Notamacropus eugenii: one gene and its partner. The protein of the gene in region 1 interacts with the protein of each later gene in a biochemical or structural test. Links are inferred from orthologs where the notes say so. Each region holds a gene or a part of one and is shown on either strand. Other genes may lie near its edges. The genes, in order: DRAP1 and DR1.

Evidence for each region.
Region 2: the proteins of DRAP1 (region 1) and DR1 form a complex in vitro, tested with the Homo sapiens proteins (2 studies listed by BioGRID). The link is inferred for Notamacropus eugenii from reciprocal best matches to the Homo sapiens genes DRAP1 and DR1.

Annotation. Positions count from the first base shown.
Region 1 is NC_092873.1:18,626,198-18,641,455, reverse strand, and holds DRAP1 (dr1-associated corepressor), read right to left. Parts: upstream 9,953-15,258; 5' UTR 9,726-9,952; coding exon 9,684-9,725; intron 9,336-9,683; coding exon 9,263-9,335; intron 7,934-9,262; coding exon 7,840-7,933; intron 7,463-7,839; coding exon 7,343-7,462; intron 6,398-7,342; coding exon 6,307-6,397; intron 6,108-6,306; coding exon 6,019-6,107; intron 5,799-6,018; coding exon 5,699-5,798; 3' UTR 5,570-5,698; downstream 1-5,569. Other genes in the region: TSGA10IP (testis-specific protein 10-interacting protein), read right to left, coding at 1-6; C2H11orf68 (UPF0696 protein C11orf68 homolog), read left to right, coding at 10,253-10,359, 11,018-11,765. UniProt on the Homo sapiens protein: The association of the DR1/DRAP1 heterodimer with TBP results in a functional repression of both activated and basal transcription of class II genes.
Region 2 is NC_092873.1:268,269,648-268,284,905, reverse strand, and holds the start of DR1 (protein Dr1), read right to left. Parts: upstream 7,419-15,258; coding exon 7,199-7,418; intron 1-7,198. UniProt on the Homo sapiens protein: The association of the DR1/DRAP1 heterodimer with TBP results in a functional repression of both activated and basal transcription of class II genes.

The DNA of each region.
Region 1 (15,258 bases):
CCCCATCCCCCTATTTCAGAACTTCTACAAGCCTGGTCCTGGATCATCACTATGGAGACCAACAGGCCTCTGGGGAGGCATGGTTACCTGGCCTGTGAGACCCTGGCTTCTGAGAGCACTCTGGCCCCTGAAAGCACCTCGGGGCAACTGTCCTCCCTGATCATGTCATAATGTCTTGCTGTGTGTCTGGCCATTTGTAGTAGCCTGTACTGTAACTTTTGTGAGGGCAGCATCTGACCGGAACCTGCTCTCTATCTCCTTGAATGGGGTCTTACATAGTAGGCACACCCTCAGCTCAGGAGATTGACAGCCAAAGGAGGAAACTCAGACTCAGAGGAGGTCATGAGCAGTAAGCGGAGGAGCCAGTATTTGAGCCCAGCTCCTCTGACTCCCAGGGTTTCCCATGGCACCGTCCTGTGTCTAAGTGGTGGCTAAAGAACCCTTGCAGTCTAGGGTCAGGGCCTTCCTCTCTCTGGATCTCAGTTTCCCCACCTGTATAATAAGGGAATCAGACAAGATGATCACTTAAGGTCCCCTCTAGCTCCCACACCCTCTCCCTGAAATAGGGATCTTTTTGTTTGGGTTATACTTCTGCCTAGCCTGGGACCCTGGTCTGTCTGGTCTGTCCCTGCTCTCTGAGCTGTCCCCCCCATGGTTACAGCAGCTAGAGGTGTGAGTCCTGGTCTCTGCCTGGCTGGTAACTCTCTATGGAGCTGGGGGTGGGGGGGACTTCAAAGGGGCCCAAGAGGAGGATGAGCAAGTTTGAGTGTACAAAAGGTTTGATGGGGTCAGAGGAGATGCTCTCCCCACAACTAGCTCTGGGAGTCCAAGGTTCTGTCTGGGAAATTGGAGGCTCCCACCCCACATGAGGGGAAATGGCTTGGTATGCACCGGCCTGGATTCCTCCCGTTTGCCCTTGAAAATCCTATTTGCAAGTTTCCAAACGATTCTCAGAGGCACCCAGTCCAGCACCGCATTCCTTGAGGCATACAAATTTTGCTCAGAGACTTCCAGTGATGGGGAGGTCACTACCTTTTTCTTAAGGCTGCCCATGATGCTTTGGGACAGAAATGAGGGTTAGGAAATTAGAGTGAACCGACATCCACAAGACCCAGCTCAGTCACTGCCTCTCATAGGAGGGGCTGAATGAGTTGACCTCTGAGGTCACTTTCAGCTCTGACTTTGTAAGCCTATAAGTCCTGGTCACAGACTCGATACTCCGACCAAGCTGGACTCCTCGATGTTCCCTCCTGACTGGTCACAGGCACTGGCCACTCCTCCTTTCTGATGTCTCCATTCACCTGCTGTTCCTTGAACAAGCCTCTCCATCTCCCGACTCCAGGCATTGTCCCCCATGCCACAGACACTCTCCTTATCTCCACCCTCTGGCTTCCTTCTCCAGGAAACATCTCTCCATGGTCTTTAATCTTGGACCTTCCCTCTGGGGTGGTCTCTAATATAGCCTGTATGTAGCTTGTTTATTCACATGGTCTCCACCCTTAGAGTGGTAGCTCCCCGAGGGCAGGGGCTGGGGTTCTTTAAAAACTCTCTCTTTGTATCATCCTGTGTTTAGCTCAGGGCTTAGTACACAATGGGCTTAATTAATGCAGGTGAACTTGACTTTATGAAATCCTTCCCTTTCTTCACAGGGCCCAGTGCACTGTGGTGTCCCCTTGTGGCCTCTCATCAAGAGACAGTGCAGTGCAGGGCCCAGCAAGCTAGACTTGAAGTTGGATCTGTATGACTCGCTCTGCCTCAGTTTCCACATATGCAGTACGAGGTTTTACGGTCCCTTCCCTCTACCTATGATCCTATCATATAATGAACTCTGCGCCTGCTTCTTCATCTATAAAATTGGGATATGACTATCTTCGTTACCCAGTTTCCAAGGTGCTTTTCCAGAGGAGACTGAGGATCAGCACCCCATGCCTGGAATGTCCTCCCTACCCTGCCCTGTGCAGGCAGTTCAAAGGTCACCTCCTCCTTGAAGCCTTCCCAGATTCCCCCTTAAGGTTATGTGAGTGCCTTTCCTACTGGAGTTTCCCAGTAGCTAAATCAGTTTGGCTGATTTACTCAGAGTCAATTGATGAGACCCCCCTCAAGGAGGCCATTGATAAGAAGAAAGTCCCCAAATATACCAAAATATTCCTAGCAGCACTTTTTGTGATAGCAAAGAATTGTAAACAAAGTGGGTACCCACTGATGGGGAATGACTAAACACAGTGCGGTGCATCCATGGAATGGAATGTTAAATGAGAAACATGGGAAGATGGACATCTATATGAACTGACGCAGAGGCGAGCTGGCAGAGCTAAGAAAACAGCATACGCAGCAATTACAACAGAAATGGAGAGAACTGCACACCAAAATCAAGTGAATGTTGTCAAGCCGAGGCCCAGGAAGCCCCCTCCCCTCCCCTCCCCCTCTGCAGAGGCGATGCTGCGACATGTGTCAACCTTATTGCACGTATTACTCAGTTAGGCTGATTCCCTCCCCCCCTTTTTTTTGTCTTTATAAAATAGTGTTACATGGAATGGTTCTCTGGGTGGGGCCAGGAGAAGGGATACTGGAAGAAATTGTTCAGGCGTATCAGGTGTGTCCAGTTCTCAGTGACCCCATTTAGGGTTTTCTTGGCAAAGACACTGAAGTGGTTTGCCATTTCCTTCTCCAGCTCATCTTACCGAGGAGGAAAACTGAGGCAAACAGGGTGAAGTGACTTGCCCAGGACCACACTGCTAGTGAGTGTCTGAGGCCAGATCTGAACTCATTGAGATGAGTCTTCCTGACTCTAAACCCAGTGCTCTATCCACTGTGTCCCCTGGAGAAATTATGCTGATTCCAAAAATTGACATCAATAAAAACTTATTTTTTAAAAAACAAATCTGTATCTGCCCACAGCATTGCCTCGCCTGATGGCCTTGGAGTGGGTTGGCCTAGGGTGGAGCTGGAGGTAGGACCCCAGGTGAGTCCTTTCTCCTGAGTCTCAGAGTCACCAGCTCTGTAAAAGGAGGGCAGACTGGTGGCCTCTTCAAGTCCTGGCTTCCTGTGATCATCTGAGTTTGCTCAGGACCCTGAGTGCTGGACCATCTACCCCACCTCCTCCATGTTTTTCCTCTTTCCATGGGGAGAGAGGGATTCCAAATGCCTAGTGTCCCAGGGTGCTGGGATCACCTACTGCTTCTGCTTCCTTTGGGCAATGAGCCAGAGTCAACTCTTGGGATGCCCAGGGAGACTGTTCCCCGCACACCTTCAGCTCCTACAAAGCTGGAGCCTCTCTTGACTCCTGGAGTCGATGGGATGAAACTTCTAGAAGCCAGAAGGCCCAGCCTGTAAACATGCCTGATCTCTGTAGGCTCTGCTTGCTTCCACTTCCCTCCACTCTGCCTCACTTTCTCCTCCCTTTTCTTCTCATCAAGCCCAGTACTGCTGGTACTGAGACCTAGCTCAAGTCTCACCTTGTCTAGGCAGAAGAACCTCAGGACATTGTGAGCCCAGAAAGCTCTTGGGAACCTATGAAAATGATCTGGGGTTCTTAGTGGACATTAAGCTCCAAATGACCCAATAACGTGAGAATAGCCAAGAATGGCAAAGCAGTCTTAGGTCTTGTTAAGAGGCATGAACCCACCTGGAGTCTGATCACATGATGGCATCAAATAAGTGGCCTCTAAGACTCCTTGTCGCAGAGCCTTAGGATACTCTTTGGGTTACATTCTAGGCATCAAATCTTATGACCATGCTGAAGTGCACAGAGTCCGGGAGATGGGGTGGTGGTAGAGGGGTATAAGTGGGGCAGGGGGTGGGCGGCCAAGATGCTGAAGCATCTCAATAGCATGTGGTATTTAGATCATTTGGAAAGCCTAACTTGGAGATTCTGCCACACTGAGCGCAAAGGGGCTCTATGCAGAAAGTGTGTGTGTGTGTGGGGGGGGTGATTAAACTATATCTAGGATGACGTGCCCAGTGATTCCTGCCTCACTCCCCTGGTTACTATTAACATGTGAATTTCAGCAGACAGGACCATGTCCATAACTCACTTTGGGAGGACCTTTAAGGGACTGCCCTCTGGGAGGAGGCTGGAAGAAGGGGAGCCCCAGAGAGCTTTGGGTTACAGCCACCTTCTACTTAGGGGTCAAGACAAATGGACGGAAAGTGGGAAATGGAGTTGTTGGGACCTAATCTGACTAAGATGCTGCCCATCTCCATGACCTACCCTTCTCTTGACCAGTCACTGGGATGAGAACAGTTGCTGCCTTATGGTGGTAGAGGGAGAAATATTAGGACATTTACAATGCTTTGCAAACCTCTGAAGGCTGTCTGCAGAGAGCAGCTACGACCAGTGTGGCTACATGGGACATTTGCCTTGACATTTCACATCTCTGGCCTCAGTTTCCTCATCTGTAATAAGAGGGGGTGGCCTAGATGTTCTCTAGGGCACTAACAGAGTCAGTGCAGGTGAAGGCCCAGAACCCAGCCAGCTCCACTCCTGGGCTTTACCGACCTGTGGGGATAGGGGTATTTTCAGGTCTTGTTTAAGTATCTTGAAATAGAAAGGCCTATAGAAACAAAGGGCAGTGGGGTGGGTGTTGTAGGGTGGCCCCTCCCGCTCCCCATCTGCATACCATAAAGCCCACCCCTCCCCAGGGTGGGCACTAAAAGTTATTAAAATCCCTCTTCCCTTACTGTGTGTGTCCTCAGGGCTTGGCCCAGAGCAGTCACTTAAAGATGAAGCTCCTGTTTTCCTCCCTTCACCCCAAGCTGGGTCCCTGGGCAGACAGGTTGGGGAGGGGGAACAAGGGAAAGAGCAGGGGAAGACAGGGTCTTCTGTCAGGGTCTAGATCTACCCATCAACCCTAACAATTATGTTCAAAACTGCCCTCCCATTTCCCCTCGCCATCTTCAATCGGGCTTTAGCTCTGCATGGGAAAGAGTAAAAGAGCTGAGGCCAGAGGACCCAGGTTCAAATTCAGGTGATATGTGACCTGGAACTGTTTCTCTATCTGTAACATGAGGAAGGGGCTGGCCTGGACAATGGGCAATGCTCTCACCTTTGTCCTCTCACTGTGCGCCATCACATACCTCTGGTTTTGACCTCTCTGGGGGCAGGGGTGTGTGTGTCCAGAGAAGCCTTTGTACCCCTATATGCTGACCACCACTCTTAAGTCACTGGCATCCAAAGAGAAGTTTTGCTGGGACCCCTCAGTGACCCTCAATCACCGGGCCAGGGGTAGGGGCAGAGAAGTAGAGAGGAGGGTGGGCTGTCTGGACTCCAGTGACCCTGACAGACTCCAAGGCAGGGCAGCCAGGGAAGGCGAGGCAGCACGAGGATCCTGGCCCTGGGCAGCCCTAGGGGGTAGCCACCTTGGCTTACAAATGAGGAGGTGGGTGAATGGGCTGAAGAAGCGTTTGAGCCAAGGTTCCAAGGCAGAGGGCAGCTTGCCCACTCTCCAGGCACACTGGACTCAATGGCCCCCTTTTACAGATCAGGAAAGTGATGTCTATGGGAGAAGGGACTTCCCAAACATCTGGGGGGAGGCAGGACAGAGGAGGGGGCCAAATACTCAGGAGCCTCTTTCTTTTTAAAAATTTTTAATAAATTTAAGAAGGCCCTCCCCTACCCCCTACCTCACCCTCAGCCACTAAAATTGACTAAACGAGGGTGGAGGGTGGGAGGAGGGGGGGGAGGGCCAGGGGGGAGGGCCTATGAGTCATAATCTTCTTCTTCTTCAACAGCTGTAGGGGCAGGGGGTGCTGGAGGGAGAGGCAGGGTGGAGGAAAAGGGGAGAAAAGGAGCCGGAGGGCTGTGGAGCAGAGAGACAAGAAAGGAGAGAGGCTGTCAGATTAACTGCACAGGCATCCTCGAGACCAGAACCCTAGAGAACCATGGGTGCTGGGAGGTTGGTGGTATGGACATTACAGACAGGTACTGGGTTGAGCCAGATCCCCTCAACCCCCAGCCTGAGCCACATTCCCCCCCACCTACAATGCTCCCCACTCCTGCCTCCAGGTCGCCAACCTCACCTCTGGAACTGGGCTGTGGGCCGGCTGGATTGGGGTGGGGGCTGTGGCATCTCCTCCTCCCCATCTGTCTCTGTGTCTTCAGAATCATCCTGTGGGACGAATCACAGAAAAGGCTGTCAGACCCCCTGAGCTCAGGGAGAAGGGGCCATGTTGACTGCCCAGGTATATCAGGCAGGGAGAGGAGAAGGCATTGATGGCCTCCTCTCAGAAGCCTGGGGCTCAGTCACTGGACAGACCTAAGGGAGACAGGTCCTGTCCTCAGCTGACAGTCTGATGGGGCTAGCTCACCTCCTGCTCCGAGTCTGTCCCAGACTGCTTCTTATCTTTCCCCTTTCCTCCAGCACCACCGTTTTTCCGGCTGCTCCCAGGCTTCCGGCCCCTAGAATTAGAACCAGAAAGGCCCTTAAAGGTTACTTTAAAAGGTGGAAACACCAAGGGGACAGCAAGTACCATGAGTAGTCCCACGGACATTTATGAATGCGCAAGGTTACAGGGGACACAAAACACCAGGGTCTGACTTCAAGACGTTTCCATTCAGCTCGGCTGTGAGGCTCGAATGAATCAGGCCAGGAAAGCCCTAAGGTGCTTCTTCACAGTGGCTTTGAAACCTTCTTATTCCCAAGGGACCCAGGACAGCTCAGACCTTTGGTCAGAGAGGTATGAAACCATCCATACCCTTTGGACTCATCTACACCACTGAAAAGAACACACTGTATACAAAAGCATCCACAGCAGCTTGCTTAGTTCTGAACCCAAAGTGGAGCCCCTCATCTGGGAAAGGGCGGAACAAAGTATGACGTGAGTATAATGGGATACCATGTGCTGTGAAAAAAGGGACTCTGGGAAGATTTATATGAACTTAAGAAAGGAGGAGAATCAGGTGTGGGTGGGCTTCAACAGTGCAGCAACTGGGCAAGGGAAACTGGCCGGACTTCAGTGAAACCATAAAGAAAGGAAGCCTCCCTCCCCCTTTCCTCCCTTCACCGAGGCAGAGGTGCACAGGTCTGGAGTGCTGTAGGTTCCCAGACTTGTAAGATTTGATCGCGTCTGCTGATTTTGTCTCTTTAAAAATGTTATCTGTTTTATGGGACATTTCTTTGGGAGGAGGTGGGGTGGGGGGATGCCCTGAGATGAACAGAGACAGACAGAGAGATCTGGGGCTTCACAGTGCCTGGCACACGATAGCAAGCTGAATAAATATTTTGTGACTGTTCCACTTTGTATATGGTGCTGGTTAGATTTTGGAAATATTTTCTCTGAAACACAACACCTTGCTAGGGTGGGTCAGAGGAGAATGGGGGAATGTCCTACTGTAGCCCCTTACCTTCGGGTTCCTTTCTCCCCATCCAGGTGATTGTCTTCTCCATCTCCCTGCATGTCGGGCACGGCGGCAACCAGGTCCTTCAAGAAATCAAACTTCTGCTCCAATTCAATACATTGTTTCCTAGGATGGGAGATAACAGGGGCTGAGCTCCTCCTTCAGGCTCCAAAGGAAGGGGGACTTGGGGGTGGGGGGAACTGAAGGGCAACAGAAGCTCTTGGGATGAAGAACTGGAAGGGGCCTTAGGAGCTTTCTAATTTAACCCCCTAATTTTACAGCAGAGAAAACTGAGGCCCAGAACAGGTTTGGCTGAGGTCAGGGGCAGAACAGAGATTCCAATGTGGGTCTTTTGATTCTGAATCAGATGATCTTTTCAAAGGTGAGGGAGGCAGAGGGAAAGGGTGAGGGTGGGGCAAGAAGGAGAATGGAAATGTGTCCTATGGGACCAAGGGGGAAGCCAGAGTTGGGGAGCAGAGTGGGGCCTCCCTGGCAGGACTCACAGGTGACAAGTGGTCATGGTCTTGGCATTCCGAGACTGGGTCACTTGACAGGCTTTCTTGAGAAGGGATTCCAAAAACAGTTCTAATGCCCTGGCTGAGGAGCTGGTCAAGAAAAATCAGGGAAGCCTGACGGAGCCCTGAGCCCCTCAACCCTGGCTTCCTGAGCCCCCAGCCCCACTGTCCCCGGCCACCTGAGCCCCCAGCCCCTCTGCCCTCAACCTCCTGAGCCCCCAGCCCCTCTGCCCTCGACCTCCTAGCCCCAGCCCCACCGTCCCCGGCCTTCTGAGCCCCCAACCCCTCTGCCCTCGACCTCCTAGCCCCAGCCCCACTGTCCCCAGCCTCCTGAGCCCCCAGCCCCACTGTCCCCAGCCTCCTGAGCCCCCAGCCCCTCTGCCCTCAACCTCCTGAGTCCCTAGCCCCACCGTCCCCGGCCTCTTGAGCCCCCAACCCCTCTGTTCTCAACCTCCTGAGCCCCCAGCCCCTCTGTCCTCGATCTCCTAGCCCCCAGCCCCACCGTCCCCGGCCTCCTGAGCCCCCAACCCCTCTGTTCTCAACCTCCTGAGCCCCCAACCCCTCTGCCCTCAACCTCCTGAGCCCCCAGCCCCTCTGCCCTCAACCTCCTGAGCCCCCAGCCCCTCTGCCCTCGACCTCCTAGCCCCAGCCCCACTGTCCCCAGCCTCCTGAGCCCCCAGCCCCTCTGCCCTCGACCTCCTAGCCCCAGCCCCACCGTCCCCGGCCTCCTGAGCCCCCAGCCCCTCTGTCCTCGACCTCCTAGCCCCCAGCCCCACCATACCTGACCTCCTGAGCCCCCAACCCCTCTGCCCTCAACCTCCTGAGCCCCCAGCCCCTCTGCCCTCGACCTCCTAGCCCCAGCCCCACTGTCCCCAGCCTCCTGAGCCCCCAGCCCCTCTGCCCTCGACCTCCTAGCCCCAGCCCCACCGTCCCCGGCCTCCTGAGCCCCCAGCCCCTCTGTCCTCGACCTCCTAGCCCCCAGCCCCACCGTACCTGACCTCCTGAGCCCCCAACCCCTCTGCCCTCAACCTCCTGAGCCCCCAGCCCCTCTGCCCTCGACCTCCTAGCCCCAGCCCCACTGTCCCCAGCCTCCTGAGCCCCCAGCCCCTCTGCCCTCGACCTCCTAGCCCCAGCCCCACTGTCCCCAGCCTCCTGAGCCCCCAGCCCCTCTGCCCTCGACCTCCTAGCCCCAGCCCCACCGTCCCCGGCCTCCTGAGCCCCCAGCCCCTCTGCCCTCGACCTCCTAGCCCCAGCCCCACTGTCCCCAGCCTCCTGAGCCCCCAGCCCCTCTGCCCTCGACCTCCTAGCCCCAGCCCCACCGTCCCCGGCCTCCTGAGCCCCCAGCCCCTCTGCCCTCGACCTCCTAGCCCCAGCCCCACTGTCCCCGATCCTCCCCGGCGGCCCAGGATACAGATGATGACTGGCACAGCCGCCGCCACCTTGCCGATCTCCTCGTCCGTCTGCATGATCTTCTTGATTCTGGCCTTGGGGTGGGGGAGGCAGAGATCAGCTTCGAGGAGGGGTACCAGGGCACCCCCCTCCGGAACCTCCATCATCGAAGGATGTCCGGGCGCTGGGCCGGGGGAGAGGGCGGCCCGGTGGTGCAGCGGGGACGGGAGCGGGGACCGCTGGGGGCCCAGGTGTGGAGCGAGAGCCGGGGGAGGGGCAGGGGCCGGGGCGGGGGTCCCAGGGTGGGGAGGAGCTGGGGGAGGGGCCCCCGGGATCCCTGGGCGGGGCGGGGTGGGACCCGAGGGAGGGGGCGGCTACGGGCCGGGCCAGGAGGGCCCAGACGGGGCCGGGGCTGGGGGCGGCCGCGGGGGCCGGGTCCTCACCGGTGGGAAGCGCGCGTTGTATTTCTTCTTTTTGCTCGGCATCTCGTGGCCTCCTGCTGCCGCCGCTGCTCTCGCCGCACCTCGGCCTCGGCCCTCCGGCCCCGGCCCGGCTCCGGCCCCGGCTCCTCGGGCTCCTCGGGCTCCGCCGCCGCGGCTCCTCCGGCTCCGGCTGCGGCCCCACCCGGGTCCTAGCGCCGGGCCTCTCCGGCGCCTCCGGGTCCTAGCGCCGAGCCGCCGCTCGCTCCTCCGGGTCCTAGCGCCCCCGCCACCGCGGACGCTCCGCCCCGCCTCGCTCCTCGCGGCCGCTTCGCTCCGGCACCTCTCCTCCTACAGACCCGCGGAGGACGACGTTCGCCCCGCCTCCCTGCTGCGGGAGGAACGCCTTCAACGGCCCCGCCCTCCGCGAGTTCACGCCTCCGCGGAGGGGCCCTGCTTCCCATTGGTCGCGTCCTCTGCCACGTCCGGAGGAGTTTCGCTCCCCCGTCCCCCCGCCCCCTCTGTCCTGGCTGTCCACGACCGCGGCCGGCGGTTGCCGATAAAGTTGTTGTTGAGGCGGCAGGCGGCCCAAGATGGCGGCGGCCGTAGGGTGGGCGGAGCGGAGGGCCCGCGGCGGAGAAGAGCCCCGGAGAGAGCGGGGGCCAGGCCGGGTTGGCACGGAGAGGAGCGAGAGGCGGAGGTGACTGGCTCTTGAGGGCAGGCAGCGGGGTCGCGAGACCGGAGACTCGGGCCAGGGCAGCGGCCGTGGCGGGGCGTGTACGGGAGCCGGGAGGGGCCAAGGCCGGGGGGAGGGGCGGGGAAGAGGCGAGCGGCGGCGAGCGCCTCCTCTGGCGGGGGAGGGGAGGCGGGGCTCGGAGGAGCCGGAGGGGCGGGGCCGACTGTGGCTCCCCGAAGGCGAGCTGGCGACTTGGCTGGGATCCATCCGAGGGCTTCTCTCCTTTAAGAGCTGGGGGCGGGGGCTTAGTGATTGGGATCGTCCTCTAGCAGCCAGGGCCGAGCGGGGGTTGCCGTGCGCTTTCCCTGCGTTCATTCATTCGGGTCTCCCCACCCCCTGGGGAGGGGCAGGGGCTAGCATCATCCCGATTTACTGACGGGGATACCGGGACAGGGAGCAGCCACGTGAGTGTCCGCATTTGAACTCGGGGCTTCCCAGCCTCGAGCCGGCGCTCCACCCACTGGGACACCCCGCCCTCTGTCCCTAAAGGGCCACAAAGAGCGGGATGGTAGGATGGCACTGCAAGGGACATCCTTTACAGGGGGAGGGGTTCTTGACCCTGCTGCAGGCACCCAGCTCGCAGGTGGGGGTTCCGGGGCCTCACCTTTCCTCCTCCCCGCAGGATGGAGCTGCCGGAGGAAGAGATCCCCCCTGGGGGCCAGGAGGATGGCTTCACGGCCGAGCATCTGGCTGCTGAGGCCATGGCAGCCGACATGGACCCCTGGCTGGTCTTCGATGCCCGCAGCACCCCGCCTTGTGAGCTGGACTCCTGGCTGGCTGCCTACCCTCCTTCTCGTGTCTCTCGCTATGGGGGCCCCAGCGCTCCCAATCCCAAGCCTGTGGGCTGGATTGCAGTGTATGGGCCTGATTTCTCCCCTGGAGCTGGGGATGTCCAGGGACTGCAGGGGGCTTGGGAAGCCCTACAGGCCAGCGGGCGGCCCATCACACCTGCTATTCTGCGGGAGTTGGCCCTCACTCACCAGGTCCTGACCGGCAAGTGGCTGATGCACCTGAGCCCCGGCTTCAAGCTGGACCATGCATGGGCTGGCATTGCCAGGGCTGTGGTGGAGGGGAAGCTACAAGTGGCCAAAGTGAGCCCCCGGGCCCAGGAAGAGGAGCGTCAGGTCATCTGTGTCTACACAGAGGACTTCACAGACCAGGAAGGAGTGCTGAAGGCTGATGCCGCCATCCGGGCAGCTGGGGTCAAGTGCCCACTGACCTATAAGCCAGATGTCTACACCTACCTAGGAATCTACCGTGCTAACCGCTGGCACCTCTGCCCTACCCTCTATGAGAGCAGCTACCACCTGGAGAGTGACCCCCACTACTCCCGAGTCCTGGACAGGCTCAACAACACAGCACTGACTTAGGGGGGGTGGGCACTCGGGTGCTGGGAGCCAAGACATCTAGGGTGGGGAAGGCACAGACAATCATTCCGGCCCTCTGGGGCAGCTCTCTGGCTCTTAAATCAGTCCCCATGGCAGGGCGGTCTGCCTTCCTGGCTTTGGGGACCAATGTCAGGCCTCAGGAAAGGAGGGGAGGCAGAGACGTGACATTATTCCCTGTGTTGGTCCAGTCGATGGAGGGCCAACGGGACCCTGTTCCTCAGAGTTTCAGTTACTTGCCCAGAGCCTTGACTGGGCTCCCTCCACCTGCTTAGAGCTACTCCACCCCATCCCTGGATGGCAAAGCACCTAGGAGTTGGTGGAGTGTTGCATCTTGGGATTGGTAGTCCTGAGTGTGGACGGGGCCACCAGCAGGGGGGGCCCGTGGGGTAGGTGCCTGCTGCTCCCTGCTCTGCCTGCAGTTCCTACAACCCGTTCCTCTACTATTCCTTCCCTGGCTTCAATAAAGCCCACCTTTGTTTTCAGCCCACCCCTCCCTCCTGCTCCTCTGGTTGTCAGATCCAGGTGGCAGCTGGTCAGCTCTGATGTGATGAGGAATGGGGTTAGGAGGCTTGCTGGGACCAAGGAAGCCACAAGCCTGACTGTGTGCTTCTGGTTTTCAGCCACCACTTCCAGGATCAGCTTGATGATGCTCTGGCATGAAAGCCCCTCACAAGTGCCAGTCTTCTGACACTTTATTCCTTCCCTCAAATCTCATAATCCAGGTATTGGTCTGTTCTTGCACAGGCGGTACCACCTCCCAACTCCAGGCCTTTGCAAAGCCTGGTTGTGCCCCGTGCCTGCAGTGCTCTTTCTTCAACCTCTGCCTCCTGCCTTCCCCAGCACCTTCACTGCCTTCCTTTCCTTTACACTGTATATATCTTGTGTCCCAGTCATTAATACGATGTCTCTTCCATTTGAATGTGAGCCCCTGGAGGGAGGGATGCTGTTTTTTGCTTTTCTTTGTCTCCACAGCTTTCCTTTGTCTGCACTTAGCACAGTGCCTGGTGCCTAGTGAGTCCTGAATAAATGCTTGTTGACTGACTGAGTCCTGCAACAACTTTGCTCGCTGCCTTGTGGTACCTCTAGGCACGTAGTAGTTTACAGAGAGCTTTCAGTATATTCTCATTTGATCCCCAGAACAGCCTTGTAGGGAGCGTAGTGAGTATCCCCATTTTACAGATAAGGAAACTGAGGCACAGAGGTCACATGACTCAAACCTATGTCTTCTAGCTTCCAATCCAAACCTCTCTCCTGCCTCTCAGGGCAAAACTTAATTTAAATCAACAAGCATTTATTATGTTCCCAGAAATGGGCACGAGGCTCTATGCCCCATGCTGGGCATAAAAAGAAAAATGAACAGCCTGCTGCCCTCAAGGAGCTTTTGTTCTACACTATTTCCACAGACAGTGTTCTCATAAACCATTTTGTTCCCACCTGTTGGGAGTCATTGAAGACCAGGCCCCTGAGTTAGGCCTCAAAGCAGGGGGAGGAGGGAGGCAGTTACAGCCAAGGGAGGGTTCTGAGCTGGGGGAGATTTCAAGTTACCTCCTGGCTTATTTGTAACATTGCATGTGAGAATCATATGGGGATCCTTGAAAGATGAAAATAGTAGAGTCCTCCTGTTTGGTTCAGTGAGCCTCTGATGAATGATGAGAAATGGATGCTCCCCAACAGAGGCCTTTGCCACATCCCCCCAGGATCCCTTCCCTCGAGAGAATGGCATCTCCTAGAATCTAGATGCTCCCCTTGGCAGAGTCTGCTGACTGCACTGAACTGCATTTGGCTGGGCATCCTCAAGAGCGCACACACAGTAACTATCTAGGCAGGAAAGCCAAGTGGATGAAACCTGTCTGTGGTCTGGGTTGACGTGCTTAGGTAGACGTTGGATGCCGTAAAGGTGCTGACTTTCATTTGGGAAATTGTGCAGTACTTTTTAATGATCCCCAAGGTTCTCACTAAAACCAACCAAAAACACCCACCTTTCTTTAAATGCCTTTAAAGTGCTTCTACTCAGCTGTATGGCTGAATATCATGGAAAACTGTCATCTCCCAAAACATCAAAATTACAGGCCACCCAAAGAGCCATTCGAGATGCTTGGTAGTGTAATGGATAGAGCCCTGGACCTGGAGGAAGGAAGACCTGAGTTTAAATTCAGTCTCAGACATTTGCTAACTGTGTGACTCTGGGCAAGTCACAACCCCTGTTTGCCTTAGTTTCTGCAACTTTAAAATGAAAATAACAGTCCCCTTCCAGTCATCACCAATGGAATCTCATGCCCTTGAAGGATTGGAATAATACATTTTTTTCTGACCCTTTTGGAGGGATCCCTAAGCCAAAGAGTGATTTTTTTTTTATTTTTAAATTTTATTGATACCCTTTCATTTGTACAGAACAGATATTTCCCAGAGTACCTCACTGTACCCTTTTAAGCTGGTGCACTTCCCCAAAAACCCATTGGATTGAGCACAGAAAAGTCAGGGAGATGTGTCCCCTAACTGGTGGCAGGGTGAAAACTCTGACAGCTATCCTGGCCGTGAGTTCTTTGCTTTTCCATAGTGACACTATTGGCACAATTTTGACCCTATTTTCTTTCATTGACATTACTTCCTTTTTCCATGTGATCCTCTGGATTTTTCAGATTCAGCATTCCTTAAAATACAGGAATATTCCTTTACACTCACAGACTAGCCCCTAGCTGTTGGGCGCATATCTTTGTTTATCACAAATAATGCTACATCAACGCTATGGCATATCAGGAGTTATTTTTTTTTTCTGTCATTAACCTCCTGAAAGTATCATCCCAGTTGTGGGATTTCAGGGTCAAAGGGGACAAACAATTTAGTTCTACGTCCCCCTACCTCCCCGGGCAGTTGGACAGTTTCACTAGCAATAAATTAGTTTGCCTACCTTTCCCCAACTGCTCCTGCAATGAAATTGTCCATTTTTTAGTATCTTTGCTACCATAAGGTGGAATTCATTCAAAAGACATCTTTTGTCTAATTGCTGTCTCAGGATTATAATTTGAACTTAATTGATTATTTGTGTTTTTGAAATTTTTTTCAAGTGGTTATTGGTCATTTGTATTTCTTGGTAAACTTCTCTGTCGAGGTTCTTAAACATCTTTATATCAGTTCCTTACAAGCTATATTTATTGAATTTTTGTCAAATATTTAGTAGAAAGATTTTCCCAAATCCATATGTTTTTCTCTGATTCTAGCTGCGTTGATTTTATTTGTGCAAAAACATTTACACTTTATATATTTGAGATTTTCCATTTTGTCTTCTATGCCTTCACTTGTTATGAATTTTTCTCCTACTCACAACTGGGAAAAATTCAACTTTCCATTGTCCTAATTTTTTTATGGAGTGACTTCGCATCTAGACCGTTTTTCCACTTGGAATTTCCTGTGCTGTAAAATATAAGGTGTTGGTTTCACTCTATTTCGCCACTCATCCTTGGCTGGATTGTGAAGC
Region 2 (15,258 bases), about 250 Mb from region 1:
CTTAATATTTGTCATAGAAGTAGGGAAAAAAAATCTTTGCATCAACTATTCTAAGAAAAGTCTGATAGCCAGGATTCATAAAGAATTGACACAAATATATGCTAAATAATAAGAGCCCAATAGAAAAATGTTTGTCAAAAGGTATTCTTTTCATAGTTCATAGTTTAGATTTCACATTCTGAAAACTATCCATTTTCTTTGACCATTTTTCTATTGGGGAACGGTTCTTAGAGGGATAGATCTGAGTCAACTCCATAGATCCTGTATGTTGGATTTTTGTCAGGTTTGGTACAAGATTTGTATCCCAACTCAAAGTTTTTCTTTTCAATTAAAGTTTTATTTTGGTGATATACAAGTTTTTTTATTAAAAATAGCATTTTTTTTTTACAATCTTCTCTATTCCATGTCTGGCTATCATGTTTACAGTGTAATATAAGGTCTTTGAGGGTAGGGATTGTTTTAGTCTTTTGTCTTTGTATCCCTGGCAGCTAGGTGTTCAATAAATGCTTGCTGAAAAAATGGAGATGCATATTTTAAAAACTCTGAAACTGCAACATCGTACTCATCAAATTGGCAAAGATGATAAAACTAAATGCTAGAAAAGTCTTGTGAAAAGACACACGCTAATTCATTGTTGGTGGGTTTGTGACTTTGCCTAACCATTTGAAAAAACGCTTTGGAATTATGCAACAGAATGAACTTTTTGTACTCTTTCTATTTCATTAGTGAATCGAGAATACCCAATGAGGAAATCATCTGCACCAAAGTACATCAACAACTGATCTTCAATTTAAAGTCTTACCAAGCGTTCCTTAGAAACTCTGAAAGGTTAAGGGACTTGTTCCGGATCACATACCCAGTTATGTGTCAGAGGTGGGACTTTAATCGAGATCTTCCTGAATCCACTACATCTAATGCTTTATTGGGTTGAGCAATGCAACTACTAGGTTTTAACCTCAAGCACATCAATAACAGAAAGGTTCAATGTGTAACAAAAGACCCAAAGCAGCACTGTGTTATAGCAAAATGATGGAAACAAATTATGTGCTTAATGACTAGAGAATGGCATAATGTACTATGGTATACAAATGGATCTATAAGCTCATCATTTTGGAAGTTCAACTTGTGCAACTCTTAACTCTTGCCCATGTCCTCTCATACTCCTTTATGTACTTTACTGTACATTAAAATTAAAATTATTGGTATATGCCTTCAAAGAATTTAGTATCTACTATGTGGGAATATGACCTATAAGGTATACAGATAAGTAGGATAGTAGGTAGAACATTGTGAGTGCAAAGGAAAGATTTAGGTGAAGTTATCACAGAAAAATCTGAAGAGGAAGAGCTCACTTCTAGAAAGGCAAATCATGAAAGGCTTCACAGAGGTAGAAAACTGCAACAAGCCTTGAAGGAACAAGATTTTGACAAGCACAAAAGAAGGTACTGGAGATTTATAATGGTTCCTTGGGCCCATCTCCTGTTCCTGTCTCCACACTTCAGCAGTGGCTGTGCCTATGCCTGGAATTCACTCCCTTCCTCATTTCTGCCTCTTAGAATCCCTATTTCTTCAAATTTAATTCAAGTGCTCCCTTCCACATGAAGCTTTCCTTGATCTACCACTCATCTTTCCCAAGCTACCAATCCATCCTCTCTCCAAAACTGCTTTACACCTATTTCTTATGTATGTGTGCATGTATATGTTTGTGCACACACACATTCATATACACACACATATATATTTGTGTATATATTTGTGCCTATGTTTATCTGCCCTGGTAGATAGCATCTAAGCTCCTCGAAAGTCAAGTCTGGTTCATTTCTCTGTATGCCTGGCATACAGACGGCTCCTAAATAAATGCTTGCTGACTGTTAGGTTCACCAGAAGGTTTCACTCAACTTGCAAGTGGCGTTTCTCTCTCTAGTCCTTTTTAACATCATGTCGGTACTAAAGTAGCATTCAGGCTATCTACTTGCTATTTCTGATTCTGGTCTATCTCCTTTTCTGCTTATACATTTCTTCATTGATGTCTACTTCCATGCAGGTCATTACTGGTAAAATGCTAAACCAACCTATACCCAGTTTTTTCATTGACCTGACATTTGTTACCTGACATCTGATTCTTCTTATATCATGAAGTTCCACTCATAGTCACATGAGGCTTTGTATAACAAGACTTTTCAAAAATGACAAAGAGTTATCAATGAATCACAATTCACAAATATTCCTAATAGAATGAATTTGCATACACTTTATTTTTAAAATATGGTACAGATACTGAGCTAATATTTTAAGACATTTTGTAAGATAAATGTCACTCACTACCTAACATATGTCTTGCAAAAAAAAGGAATACTTTTTACAGTGATTTATTATCTAGTAATAATAATCATTCCAGTTTTACATAAATCTCAGGGGTGTTTTAAAATCTAAGAATAAATAAAAAGTCAAACCTTTAAGAATTGTGAACAAAAATAATCACATTACAACAGATACATAGGAATATAGTAAAAAAATATAATAATAATTACAATGTGGTATGATGGGAAAAATCACTACCTAAATACAATATTTAACCACGTATGAGTCATCTTCATACATATCTACGAATTATGAAATCTGGCACAGTGGATAAAGTGCCAGGCCTAGGTTCATCTTCCTCAGTCCAAATCTGGCCTCAGACACTAAGCTATATGCCCCTGGGCAAGTCACTTAACTCTATTTGCCTCAGTTTCTTCATCTTTAAAATGAGTTGGAGAAGGAAATGGCAAATCACTCCAGTATCTTTGCCAAGAAAATCCCAAATGGGATCACAGTCAGACACGACTGAAAATGAGACTGAGCAACAAACTGACAGCTAAACTTTTTAAAAAACACTACAAAAAAGTAGTTACTGAACATGCTTAAAATGACACTTCAAAATGTACCAGAAACTGGTCAGTAAAAGAAACTCCTATGCTGGTAAATATCATCAATTGAATGACTTGTCAGGAAAACAATACACACGATGACTACCATAATGTAAAGAAAAAAAAGCAGCAAAAACAAAGCCAAATTCGGTGTAACTATAATTACCAAGAAATCTTGGCCACAGGGAAGAGAAAGGTGGGAGACTGTTTCTGGTCTCTTTTAACCTCCACCTCTAAGCACCTCTATGTTCTATTGCACAAATTTCGACTTTCAGTATAATAATAATCATAATAACTCAAACTTTAAACCCGCCTACTAGAGTGCCCCTCATTTTAAGAGCAAGGGATAATTTGATGGACAGACAGCCTGTGTGCTCCACTGGTATTCCCATACTGCCCAGATAAAGTAAGGAATGTCCCCGGAAGATCAGATGGACACCCTATGTATGAAAGAACACAGATCAGTCACAGAGAATGGGCAAGCACGGACAGTTTTTAATCTGCAGCAGAGGGAGTACCCACATGGATGACAAATCCACTGATTATGCCATGAAAACTACAAACAAATCACAAGCCCCTTTGGAAAAAATTATCCTTTTGTGATTAATTTTTTAAGGATTTTAACTTTTTTTTCCTATTAAGACAGGTAAGTAGAACAATAAAGCACTGGATCTGGAGTCAGAAAGATCTGAGTTCAAATCCAACCTCAAATCCATAGTGAACAGTGAACAGTAACAGACCTTCAGTATAACAGAAAAGAGCATTGGGATATAGTACACAATCAGGGTTGCAATCCTGAATCTTCATTCTTAAAAAAACTTAACTTCTGTGCCCTTCAGTTTCCCCATCTGTAAAATAAAGGTATTTGACTAGACTGCATTCTAAATGTTTTCAAGTTCTAAGTCCTACAATTCTAAAAATACAAAACAAACATATGACATCTAAAGCCCTCAAAAACTATTTCAGAGTTGACTCTGAGTTGAATATGACACTTAAGGCAGGCAGCACAAAGGATAAGGAGATGGGCCTAGAGTCAGGAAGCTCTAAATTAAAATCCAGCCTCAGGCACTTACTAGCTGTGTAATCCCAGGGCAAGTTACTAAGCCTCTGTTTGCTTCAGTTTACTCAACTGTAAAGTGAGGATAATAATAGCACCTACTTCACAGGGTTATTGGGAATAACAAAATATTTGTAAATCTTCTCTCCCCTCCATCCACTTTACTTTTAAATTGTGTACAGGACGGAGGAAACCAAATTTAGGGTTTTTTCCCCTAAGGCCATAAAATTTCTAGTGAAGATTCACAAATTCAGTGAATGTTAGAGACAGAATGGGACTTAAGAGATCATCTAGAGCAACCCTGATTTTACAAATGAGAAAACCAGAGACCTGAGAGGCTCTCTTCCAATAAAGCAACAAAGCAATATGCTGAAATCTACACCCGAAAACACATTCAGAGGCAAAGGTAGCAACATAAAGCACAATCTAAGAAACTTAGAACCTTTTGTAATGAATTGTGACTTCACACAAAATACTAAATGTGTTTTCTCTCAACTTGATATAAAACAACTTTTCAAAATAAAGCATACAGCTGATATCATAAACTTTTTCTCACATTAGCTACTTTACAGATCTATTCAGATTAATTGTAATCCTTCCTTCTTTATCTTTTTATTTCTAATGACTGAATAATGATGATTTGCTGAATCCACCCTTACAGTGGATTCCCACTTAAGAGTGCTCCCACTCTTAAGAAAGTGGCAAGCAAAATGTCCAGAGGCAAAAGTCTAATCTAGTTTGTTAAAGAACCCACCACTAAAAGTCTAAATTCTTCGGCAACCTAAAACCACAAGACTTGTGCAGCTTCCTCATCTGTGTAAATGGTGTTAACTGAAACAAATACTTACAACAAAGTAGGCACCATATCCACATCTATATTTTCATCTGCAATTTGCCCATACTTGCCAACCCTAAGTTTCCAAAATGTAGAGACATTCTTTCTCTGCAAAAACACTAAGAACACATCTTTTAACAATTTTTAAAAAAATACCTGCAGTGAAGGACCTCCCAAATAGTCTATATCATTTCCAATTTCTAGGAGTGGGGAAGGGAAATAGAGATGGTGTTTATAATAAAATGTGATTTTACAATAAATAGAATCAATACCAAAAAGGAACAATTAATTATAGCAGTTCCCATAATGTCATGTAAGCAGCACTGAAAGCAAGAAAATTTGCACACAATCCCTTGCAAGTTACTAAACTTCTCTCTAAGTCTCAATTTTCTTTTACATAAAATAGTCTACCTCAAATAGCCATTATGAGACTCAAATGAGATACTGTTCTCAAAGTAGTATAACTTTCAACTACTATCATAATATTATCACATTATTTGTAAAAATGTTATGTGCTGGACACAGTACCCAGCACTATATAAATGTTCATTCCTTTTCTCCTTCCCCTATTATTGTTGTTTATAAATTAGTAAAATAACTTTTACTAAGGTTCTTAATTCTGGATTCACTGGTTAGTGACAGGTATAACCATAAGTATTCAGAACTGAACATATTCTAATGTTGAACTAATATTGTTTGCTACAACAGCACTTTCAAGCTATTGTGTTAACATTAAAAAAAAAACATAAAAAAAAAAAACCTCTAAAATTGATTAAACTCTATTAAGAAGTTCATTTGCAAATCGTTATTAGATTTTGGAAAGATCATCATTTCAAAGGTGTGAAAAAAATGTTAAAGCAGATTCCTTTAAAGTCTCTTGTATTTTTACATGGCAGTCAATGTTGACAAAGGAACCTTTCCATTTTTATATGAATTGTAAAAAGAAATTGTATTCTGTGGGGGATAATGTTGTATAAGAAAAAATGTTTCAGTAGTTGCACAATACAAAATAGCAATATAAACAAAAGAATATCTTTACCTTTCAAGTTTTGGGCTTAAGTATGAAATCAAAAAAGCTTTTAAAAGAATACACTTTCACCATGAATCTATTAAAGCAGTCAACCTGGTTTACTGGAGTTTGGTCATGTCCCCCCCCTTCACTTACTGAGAAGTCATGGTATATTTTAAACCTACTTTCAACATACCAAAAAGGAACTACAATGGATCATTTAATTATTTTGTCAATATCGACTGTAAAATGTCACCAGTGCAGTAACAGGTACATTTATTAGCATGATACCACACCTGTACAATGCTAGAGTGCAAGTATTTTCCACATCACTGTGATAAGACTATTTCCATATATATAGAAATAGCAACTGTGAAACTCAAAAGGTAAAAGGCAAACTAGAAGCCCGCTTAAAGTTTTGATTAACTGAATTTTTAAGAAGCAATGGAGACACAAATTAGCAAGGTTGAAATTTATATTATGAAATAAGGTCATCATTTCAAATTTAAATACTTTTCAAATACTAAGTGGATAAAAGAAAAATGAAAAAAGTGTCATACTGCCTTCCTTAAGGAGGGCAGTCAGTACTCACTCAGCCCCAAGACCATGGTGATGTACTAAGTCTCCAGAATATCTCCATCTCTTGACACTTGACAGCACCCTGCACATTTTCTACTGCTAACTGCTGAAGTTGTTTCAAAGTGCCGTTCATGAATGGCTGTCTGTGTAACTCCGAGAGAGTGATTCAAGGGGGTGAACAGAAAAAAATTTAACGTAAAAACCCTTGTTATAAGCTACTGGCCACATGCAATACTTTCTCTTTCCAGTTCATAACCTGTCTGTGGGTACGCAAAACTGAGGCAACGAGGGCCAAAGTAACATCCTCTTCGGAAAAGTTATGTCTGCCTCCACAACAGAAATAAAAAACTTTTTTATATTTCTTGAAGTACTCATGTAATAAGGAACTCCACACAGTAGAAGAGACGGTACCTTTGGTTTTCTTTCAAACACCCATCTTAGGCTAAACATTTTTGCTCTCCTAACAAAAAATTTCGAAGGGTGTTCACTTGCTCCCCATCCCAACCCTCCAAACTAAAGACTGTCTGTAAAAATGAAGCCAGAAACCTCGTGTTCCTTTTCCAGTCGGGCTACGATCTAGGTGACTGCCCTGGGGCAGGTGCTGAATCCCCTCATTCACCGTACCCCTCCGAGAGCCCCCTCCTCACGACCCACTATCTCCGCGGGAGGTGTCGCGGGGCACAATCATTAACCATGTCTGTGCCGACGCGCTCGGGGGTGCCCCACACCATGGGCTTCCTCTCCGGAGCGGCACAAAGGAAAGCAGCCGGGGCCGGCTCCCTTCCACGGCCCCAGCGCCCCCCGCTTACCTTGTATGACGTGTTCCGGGGAGATGGTCTTCTTTTCGGATTTGTTGCAAATCTCGTTGGCCTCGGAGGAGACGAGGTGGATGAATTCAGTGCAGCAGTTCACCACCAGTTCCCGGGCATCGTTGGCCACTCGGACATTGGGGAGAGTCTCTTTGATCATCTTATTGATAGCAGCTCTGGGGATAGTGAGATCATCATCGTTGCCAGACGAAGAGGCCATCGTCTCGTCTCGTCTCGCCCTCCCTTCTCTCTCTCCCGGGGTTTAAAAAGTCCCTGGTTCTGGACCACTGGCCCGCAGAGACCAGACAATCTTGCTCACACGAGGACCCGGCCGCCTCTGGGGGCGGCGCGGCCGGGGCACAAGCCCACAAGCCCGGGAGAGGGTGCTGAGTGTGTGAGTGGGTAAGGGGTGACTTGGGATCGTGAACACGGGAGAGAGAGGAGCCCGGCGTGCTCCGGGAAGTGGGGCAGCTCAGAGTCGCCTCCTCAGAGGGGCGGGCGCCGTCCCCCGAACCCTGGTGCGATCCGGGGGCCTGGCCTGGCCGCCGTACCGGGCTGACACCCCAGGCAGGGGGCTCGGCTCTAGAGAGCCCGAGCCGCAGCCGCCGCCTCCGCCGCCGCCACCACCTGCTGCCGCCGCCGGCGCCACCAAACCATTCTTCGGGCACCGGCACCGACGCCGCCGACTCACAGCATGTCGGCCGTGGCGGCCGCCGCTATCGCCGGGAAGAGAACACGGAGCGAAGTCGGGCAGACGAGGAGCCGCAGTGGCGGCCGCCGTGGCCGCTTAGCCCGGATGCAGATCGCGGAAGCCGGAGCGGAGAGAGAGACGGCTTCTCCTGAGGCCGGGGCAAAAGGGTTTGCCAGAAGCTGCTCCCAAGAGCCTTTGCGCGGCCGGAAGCGCCGGCCTCCTCTAAACTCCTACTTCACTTCCGGCGAGGAAGAGCCGCTGCCGCCCTTCCCCCCCACGGGCGTTCGAAAGGGTCCGGAGCGGCAGGCTCCGGCGTCCTCGCGGGCCTCAACGGCCACTTCTCGGCGCAGTTTCCCCAGACCGGTCCCAAACGGCCCCGCGGCCTAGGGGGGACCCCGAGGAGGGCAGGCCGAGCCTGGCCTCCTCGGAGGAAGCCCCTTGGCTGGGGGCGCGGAGGGGGCCGAGCAGAATCGATCTCGAAGCCGAAGGGCAGCGCGCTCCTCGCGGCCCCTCCGCCGAGCCGGATCTCGTGCCCGGCCCCCGCCCCGTCTCTGCCCGGGCCGGGGGAAGGCGGGCTGCTCTGGAAGGAAGCGGAGGAGTTAAAGTGTTAGGAGAGGGGCCAGGCTTTAGGGCTACAAGGGCCGCTGGGGCGTCGTGGGCCGAGAGCCTTTTTATGTGTCAGTTCGAGGGTGAGGGGCGAAAAAATAGCCCTCCCTTTTGGTTCGCCTTTAGCCCTAGGCTCCATCTTCACCCCAAAACTGCATACTTGTGCGACTGGGTATCGGAGAGGAGAGAATGCTGGACCTCCCCAAGGGCCCCTTGGACCTGTGTGTGCCAAACCTCAGTTTATTGAGAGGCCTGGGCTAACGAACGGACTTGTGAGGTCTCCTGCCCCAAATCTGTGATTCAAAGAGCCCCCTTTGGGCCTTGATTTCCATCAGAATGGGGATGGGAGGCTTTTGGATGCCGTGGATAATGGGGGCCTGCTGGAGACGCTGCTGCTTTCACTCTTCCCAGCTGTGTGATCTTGGCAGGGCACTAAGCCTCTGGGTTGTACAAGTATCAGTCGGCATTGATGGAGGGAGTTTCCATGCCAGAAGCCTCCCGTGCTGCTAAAATCCCAAGTCTAGACCCATCTCCAAAATATGGATAATGGGAATTGGGCTACCCACCCCAAGGGGGTTGTTCGCAAAGCACTCTAGAAATGTGAGTTACTGTTTTTCATGGTCTCTGGATAAAGCTATTTTTCTCCATTTTGTGGCATCTGGTTGTTTGTGTTTTTTAATTTAAATTTTGTCAGCAGGTGCTGACGGTGACTAAGGTGGAGTTAACACCCTATGGAGAAATGGTGTGAGAATCGGGGTTGATGGTATAGTCAAGGCCACTCCTCGATATTTGGCTTGCCCGGAGTGCATTTCCAAGGGCACTCTCCCTCTTTGCTTGAATATATCATAGGCGTATCTTAAGCAAATAATACACTGGGGAGACAAAAATGCTGGAAGGGCTAGGTAGAAAGAAGAGTAGGAGCCACCAGGAAGGAATACAGGGGTGAGAGACACTTGTAATATTTATTTAAATGCACATAGTTTTTAATGCTATAAAATTCCACCCTTCGTGGCAGGTAAATATTTATATTGTGATAAATCTTAATGTTACAGTGACAATTCCTGTGGAACGTACGTGCAATTTTCAAACCTTGCTTAGTTCTCACAAATGCCTTATCCTACTTCTTATTCCAGGAAGAGCATGTCATCAAATTCTCCAAAGTTAGTGCTTTTAAAATTTAAAAACTATTCCATACAGTGATTTGTGAGGAAAAGGTCCCCTCATTCAGCAATGATAAAGTATTATTTTAATATCAAAAAGGGTGAATTTCTCTGCTATAGGTTTTTTTTAAAAGCAAGTTGGAGAGAGCCATTCATTAAACCTGATGGGTCTTTCAGTTCATCAGATTGCAAACTGAAATAGTTATCAGATTTTTGTATTGTCTTCTGAAACCACAGGAGTTTTGTTATGGTGAAGCAGTTTGAATATTCTAGCCTTATCCCTAAGGTTGGAGAAAGGTAGTCAGCTGGTTTATGAAGGCTTTGTTGTCATTTACTTATTTTTTACTCTTTATGATTCCTTTTTTAGAGTTTTCTTAGGAAGAACACTGGAGTGGTTTGTCATTCTCCAGCTCATTTTCAGATGAGAAAGCTGAAGAAATAGGGTTAAGTGACTTGCTGAGGGTCACACAGCTAGTAAGTGTCTGAGGCCTCATCTGAACTCAGGTCTTCCTAACTGTAGCTGGGGCACTCCCTCCACTTGGCCACCTAGCTACCAAGGCCTGCTTGGGCGAACTAACTTTTCTTGTAATGAATTAAGCAGAGGGGGAGTGCATTGCATTAGGAAGATAGAACAACAGCCCGGGGTACCCTTCAACCACAATTTCCACACTATACCAAGTACCTTGTGACTTTTACTGCTCAAGAGTACTTTGAAGTTAATCATCCCCAGAACATACTGGGATTAAGTGATGCATAAATTGGCTTGTTTGTCTGTGATGCCAATGACTGTCAGAAGGAAAAAATAAAACGTTTATAAAAGACAAACATTGAGTGTATTTGCCCATTGAGGTGAGCACGCAGGGCTTTTTCCCCCAGTGTCTAGCTGCAGCTCAAATTGGTAGAAACTAATAGCCAGTCAGTCCACTCGTACTAAACAGCCTGACGAATTTGAACCAGTCAGTTCATGGAGCCATCCATTCAGTGACTTAGGGGTGGTCAAATCTGTCTTCAAGAAAAAATGAGGATAACAAATCAATGGAAGAACCTTCCGGGAGAAAAAGATCGTGTAGTCCGAGCTGTGATTATATAATAACCAAAGATTACAGACTTTAGTCTGTAATCAGACTACCAAGTAGTTACTTTATAGAATTAGATAAAATAATAAAATTACTTGGAGGAAAGAAAAGGTCAAGAATCTCAAAGGAAATAATGAAAAAAGGTAGGAATGAGGGGAAGTTAAAGTTACCAGATTGTGAACAGTGTTATAAAGCAGTAATTGTCAAAACTTTTAGCAATGGTTAAGAAACTGATTGGTGGGAAATGAAGAAGTACTCAAGACTGAAATAAACATAATAGTCTAATGTTTAATAAGCCCAAGAGCACAAACAAAAAAGAACACAACCTCTGCCTCAGTTTCCTCAGCTGTAAAATGGGAATAATAATAGCACCTACCTCCTAGGGTTATTGTGAGGACCAAATGAAATATTTTTAAATTAGCACAGTCTCAGACACATAGTAAGTGACAAGAGTTGCTGAGAAAGCTAGAAAGTAATTTAGCAGAAATAAGGTTCAGACCAACTTCCTACTCTGCATACCATAATCTACTACAATTGAGTGCATGATCTAAATATAAAAGATCACATCATTTTCAGAAAATTGAGGATAATATACAGATGTTTCAAGTTTAGGGAAGAAAATTTTAAGGAATAGATATAATTTTAAGAGAATAGGTAATTTTGAATACATAAAAATTAAAAAGTTTTTGTGTAAGCAATTGTCATTAGAATAAGCTGTGAACTGGAAAAAATCTTCGTATCAAATAGATAACAAAATGATGAAAAATTGGGTCAGACAGAAGACACAGAAACCAGAGAAATTCATACAGAAAGTACCATAACAAGGAGACCCACAGAAACTAAAAACTGCCTTAGCAAAAAGTTGATAGTTAGATGGTAGCCAAGGTCCTCACCAGTTTAGAATATAAAATAATTTGCAAGTGTCTGGTAATTGTTTGATTTGTAAGATATGTCAACTAATATGAACAGGCAAATAAAAAAGAAGCTATCAGCCATTTAAAATAATGCTCCAAATCACCAATTATAAGGGAAATGTAAATTTAAACAACTCTGAGGTTTTACCTCATACTGATAGGCAAGAATGACAAATGGTAAATGTGGAAGGGGCTCTGGGAAGACAGGCACATTAATGTGCTTTGGTGGAGTTATTGATCCAACCATTTTCTGGGAAATAGTTTGGAATTATATTTAGAAAATGAACTAAACTATACTTATTTCTTGACTGAGCAATATCACTACTGAGCATATTCTCTAGAGAGGTGAAAGATATTGTGAAAGATCCCATGTATACACAAATATAGCAAAACTTTTTGTGACAGCAAAGAACTGGGAACAAAGTTGAGATATGGTTGAACAAATTGTGGTATATGAATGTAAATGGATTTTGAACCATCAGAGAGGAAAATCAATTCAATGAAACCTGTAAAGGCTTGTCTGAACTGATGCAGAGCAAAACCAGTTCAGATTCAGAGAGATTAAAAACTTGTCCATGCCCATTTCTTGATTTAGTCCAATGCTTTTTCTACCCTACCATACTGCCTTCAAAGAAAACTCTGACTCAATAATTATCAAATACTTTTTTTTCCTTTTGATTTGCTTTGAAGGGCATATTACCAGCAATAATGCTCAGGAAGATACTTCCAAGATGGAAAAACTTCTAAAATAAGCCCAGTGACATACTGTTTTGTATATACTAGATGTCTGTCATCTGGGAGGCAGTGACCTAATTTTGGAAAGACTAGCTGGAAGGTCATCCACATTCTGATGAATTGTTTAGGCCGTGGTATGGAACAGTAACCATAGGTGTATAGGGATTGGGCTCCACTTAAGGGAATACCCCACGTTAACTGAATTAGATTCTTTGAACTATAATTAATAGAAACATTAGAAATTTATGCAAAAGCATAAAGAATGCTGATAAAAGCAGGTCTCCTGGGTAAATACTTTGCTCTTTCTAATGTACCATGCCACCTGAGTATGCACAGCTTCAGACAGAACATTTCACACCAGTATATTTGTTTTGCAAAATACCTTTACATTCTCTCTTTTGACCACAGATGTGCTTTCTGAATGTAGCTACGGAAGAAAAGGCTTAAAAAGGCTGTTGATTTTTCTTTACAGCAGGAAAGAAAAAGCTCCCCAACCCTTTTTTTCTCAGTGGTGGGAGAGTAGTTTCAATTCTCTTTTCTATATGAATTTCAGTTTTAAAGATCTCTATTTTAAAACTGCAGAATCTTATAACTCTCACTTTCTCTAAGTATTTGTAATATGTACCTCTTTAAGCTAAAGACATTTGTGGCTATATGATGAAAATATTTGTGTTAGTGGAGTACATGGAGTGTCTGGGAAAGTTTTAAATCTGTGGCATGACCTTGTCTCAACTGATAATACTCATATTAGTTGTCAAAAAAGCATTTTAAAGGAAAAAAAAAAGTACCTTAGCCTGTCACTGGAGACTTTGTAGTTGGAGAAATGGAAAGAGTGGTGTTTAGTAATATAATCATGCCACAAATTTTGAGGGATTCTTGTCTTCTTCATAGAGTAAGCAGTTAGAATGATTGTGTTTGGCAATGGCTTGTTGCCAAGTATCTATGGGTAAAGAAAGGAAACAAGCATTTATTAAGTTCTATCTATGTGTCATGTACTGTGCTAAGCACTTTACAAATGTGTCATTTGATCTTCACAACAAACCTGAAAGATGAGTGCTATCATTTTCCCCATTTTAGAGTTCAGGAAACTAAGGCAAAACTTAAGTGAATAAAAGGATGGTTTTCCCAGCCATTCTCATCATCCTTCTCTTCATCCTCACCCAGATGATTAGTGACTGAATTCAAAGTAGCTCACTTTGCTCAGCCCTAGATGCCAAACTGGGTTTGAGCTTCACATGACAGCCAGTGATCCACCTAAGTCATCTCATAAAATATCACAAGCGTTCTTTCCGTTCCTTCCTCCCTTCCTACCTCTCGCTCTGCACATAATAAATAAATAGTACTATTGTTTCTGGAAAAGACATATTGGATACACCAATCTGCCATCTCAGTGACTTCTCCTAACCAAAACTCCTTTTTCTGGTCATCATTCCCTTATGTGTTGTTTTCCCCCATTAGAATTTGTACCCCCAATGTTTAGTAGAGTATCTTGCACATACTAAGTATTTAAATGCTTTTTCATTCATTTTTTCATTCTTATAGACTCTTCTACTAACATGTTCACCTACCTGAATGTCCATACATGTCCATATAACTGAAGTGGGCCTTGGAGATCATCTAGTCTAACCCCTTCATTTTGAAAATGAGGAAACAGGTGCATATAGGTTAAATGGCTTGCCCATGGTCATACAGCTTTTGTGTCAGAGGTGGAATTTGAATCTGGGAATTGGAATTCCTGCATCCAAGTCCAGTATTACTCCACTATACTATACTGTGTTTGAGATACAACTCAAAATTCAACTTTCTATTCCCAAGAGGGAATAGAAAGGCCATTCCCAAGCCTCCCAGCTGCACATTCTTTCCTCTCTAAGATTACCACCCATCTACTCTGTATGTGCCTATTTATGCACATGGTGCCTCACTAAGAATGTAAACTCCCTGAGGAAAGGTACTTTTTTTTTCCTTTATATTCCTAGTAAACAGTGATTAACCATTGATTAAATGTGTTAGGGGAATGTGAAGTTCTGAATCATCCAAATAAAGTTGGCAATTGAAAACATGACTTCAAATGAATTTTCCAAGAGAATGAAGACAGAGAGGAGCAAAGGGGTGTGGGAAAGACCTTTGGAATATACCTACAATTACAAGTGCCAGTACAAAAAGAAAGAAAAAGAGAGGAAGAAAGGAAGAAAAGGTAATTCTGGCCCCAAAGGGGGTTGGAGGAAAGAAAGGAGAAAAGAAAGAAAGAGAGAGAGGGAAGGAAGGAGGAAGGAAGAAAGGAAGAAAAGAAGAAAGAAAAAGAAAGGAAGGATGAAAGAGTAACCCCAGTCTCAAAGAAGGTTGGAGAAAAGAAAGAAAGGATAAATTGATAATTTGTTAAGTACTTACTGAGGGCCAAGCAACATGCTAAATGCTGGGAATACAAGTAAAGCAAAAAAAGAAAATCATGCCTGCCCTCATGAAGTTGTAAGATAGAAAGGTAGTCTAGAGAATCAGGATCAGAGCTGAGTTAGAGCTGAGTTAGAGTTAGACTGGCCTGAGTGTTTCCTCAACAGGGGGTTCCTGAGGAACTCGCGAATAGAGGAAGAGATTGTGAGAGTGGAGGTGTCTTCAGCGTGAGAAGGCTGCTGGAGATTAGAGAGCAAGGTGGAAAAGTAATCCACAAAGAACCTGGATAGTTCAGTGTTACAAAAAACAGAAAAAGAGAGAGGGTCAGGAAGCAATGGGTAGTCTGCAGTTTCAAATGTCAAGACCAAGCTGTTTCTTTAAATGGCATTATACTTCAAAGTCCTAGTTATATTGCTTAAGTATACTGTATCGTGAATCTTTCCCAAAAGTCCCATCTATGCCAATTCTTGATCATGCCCTAGAGGGGACC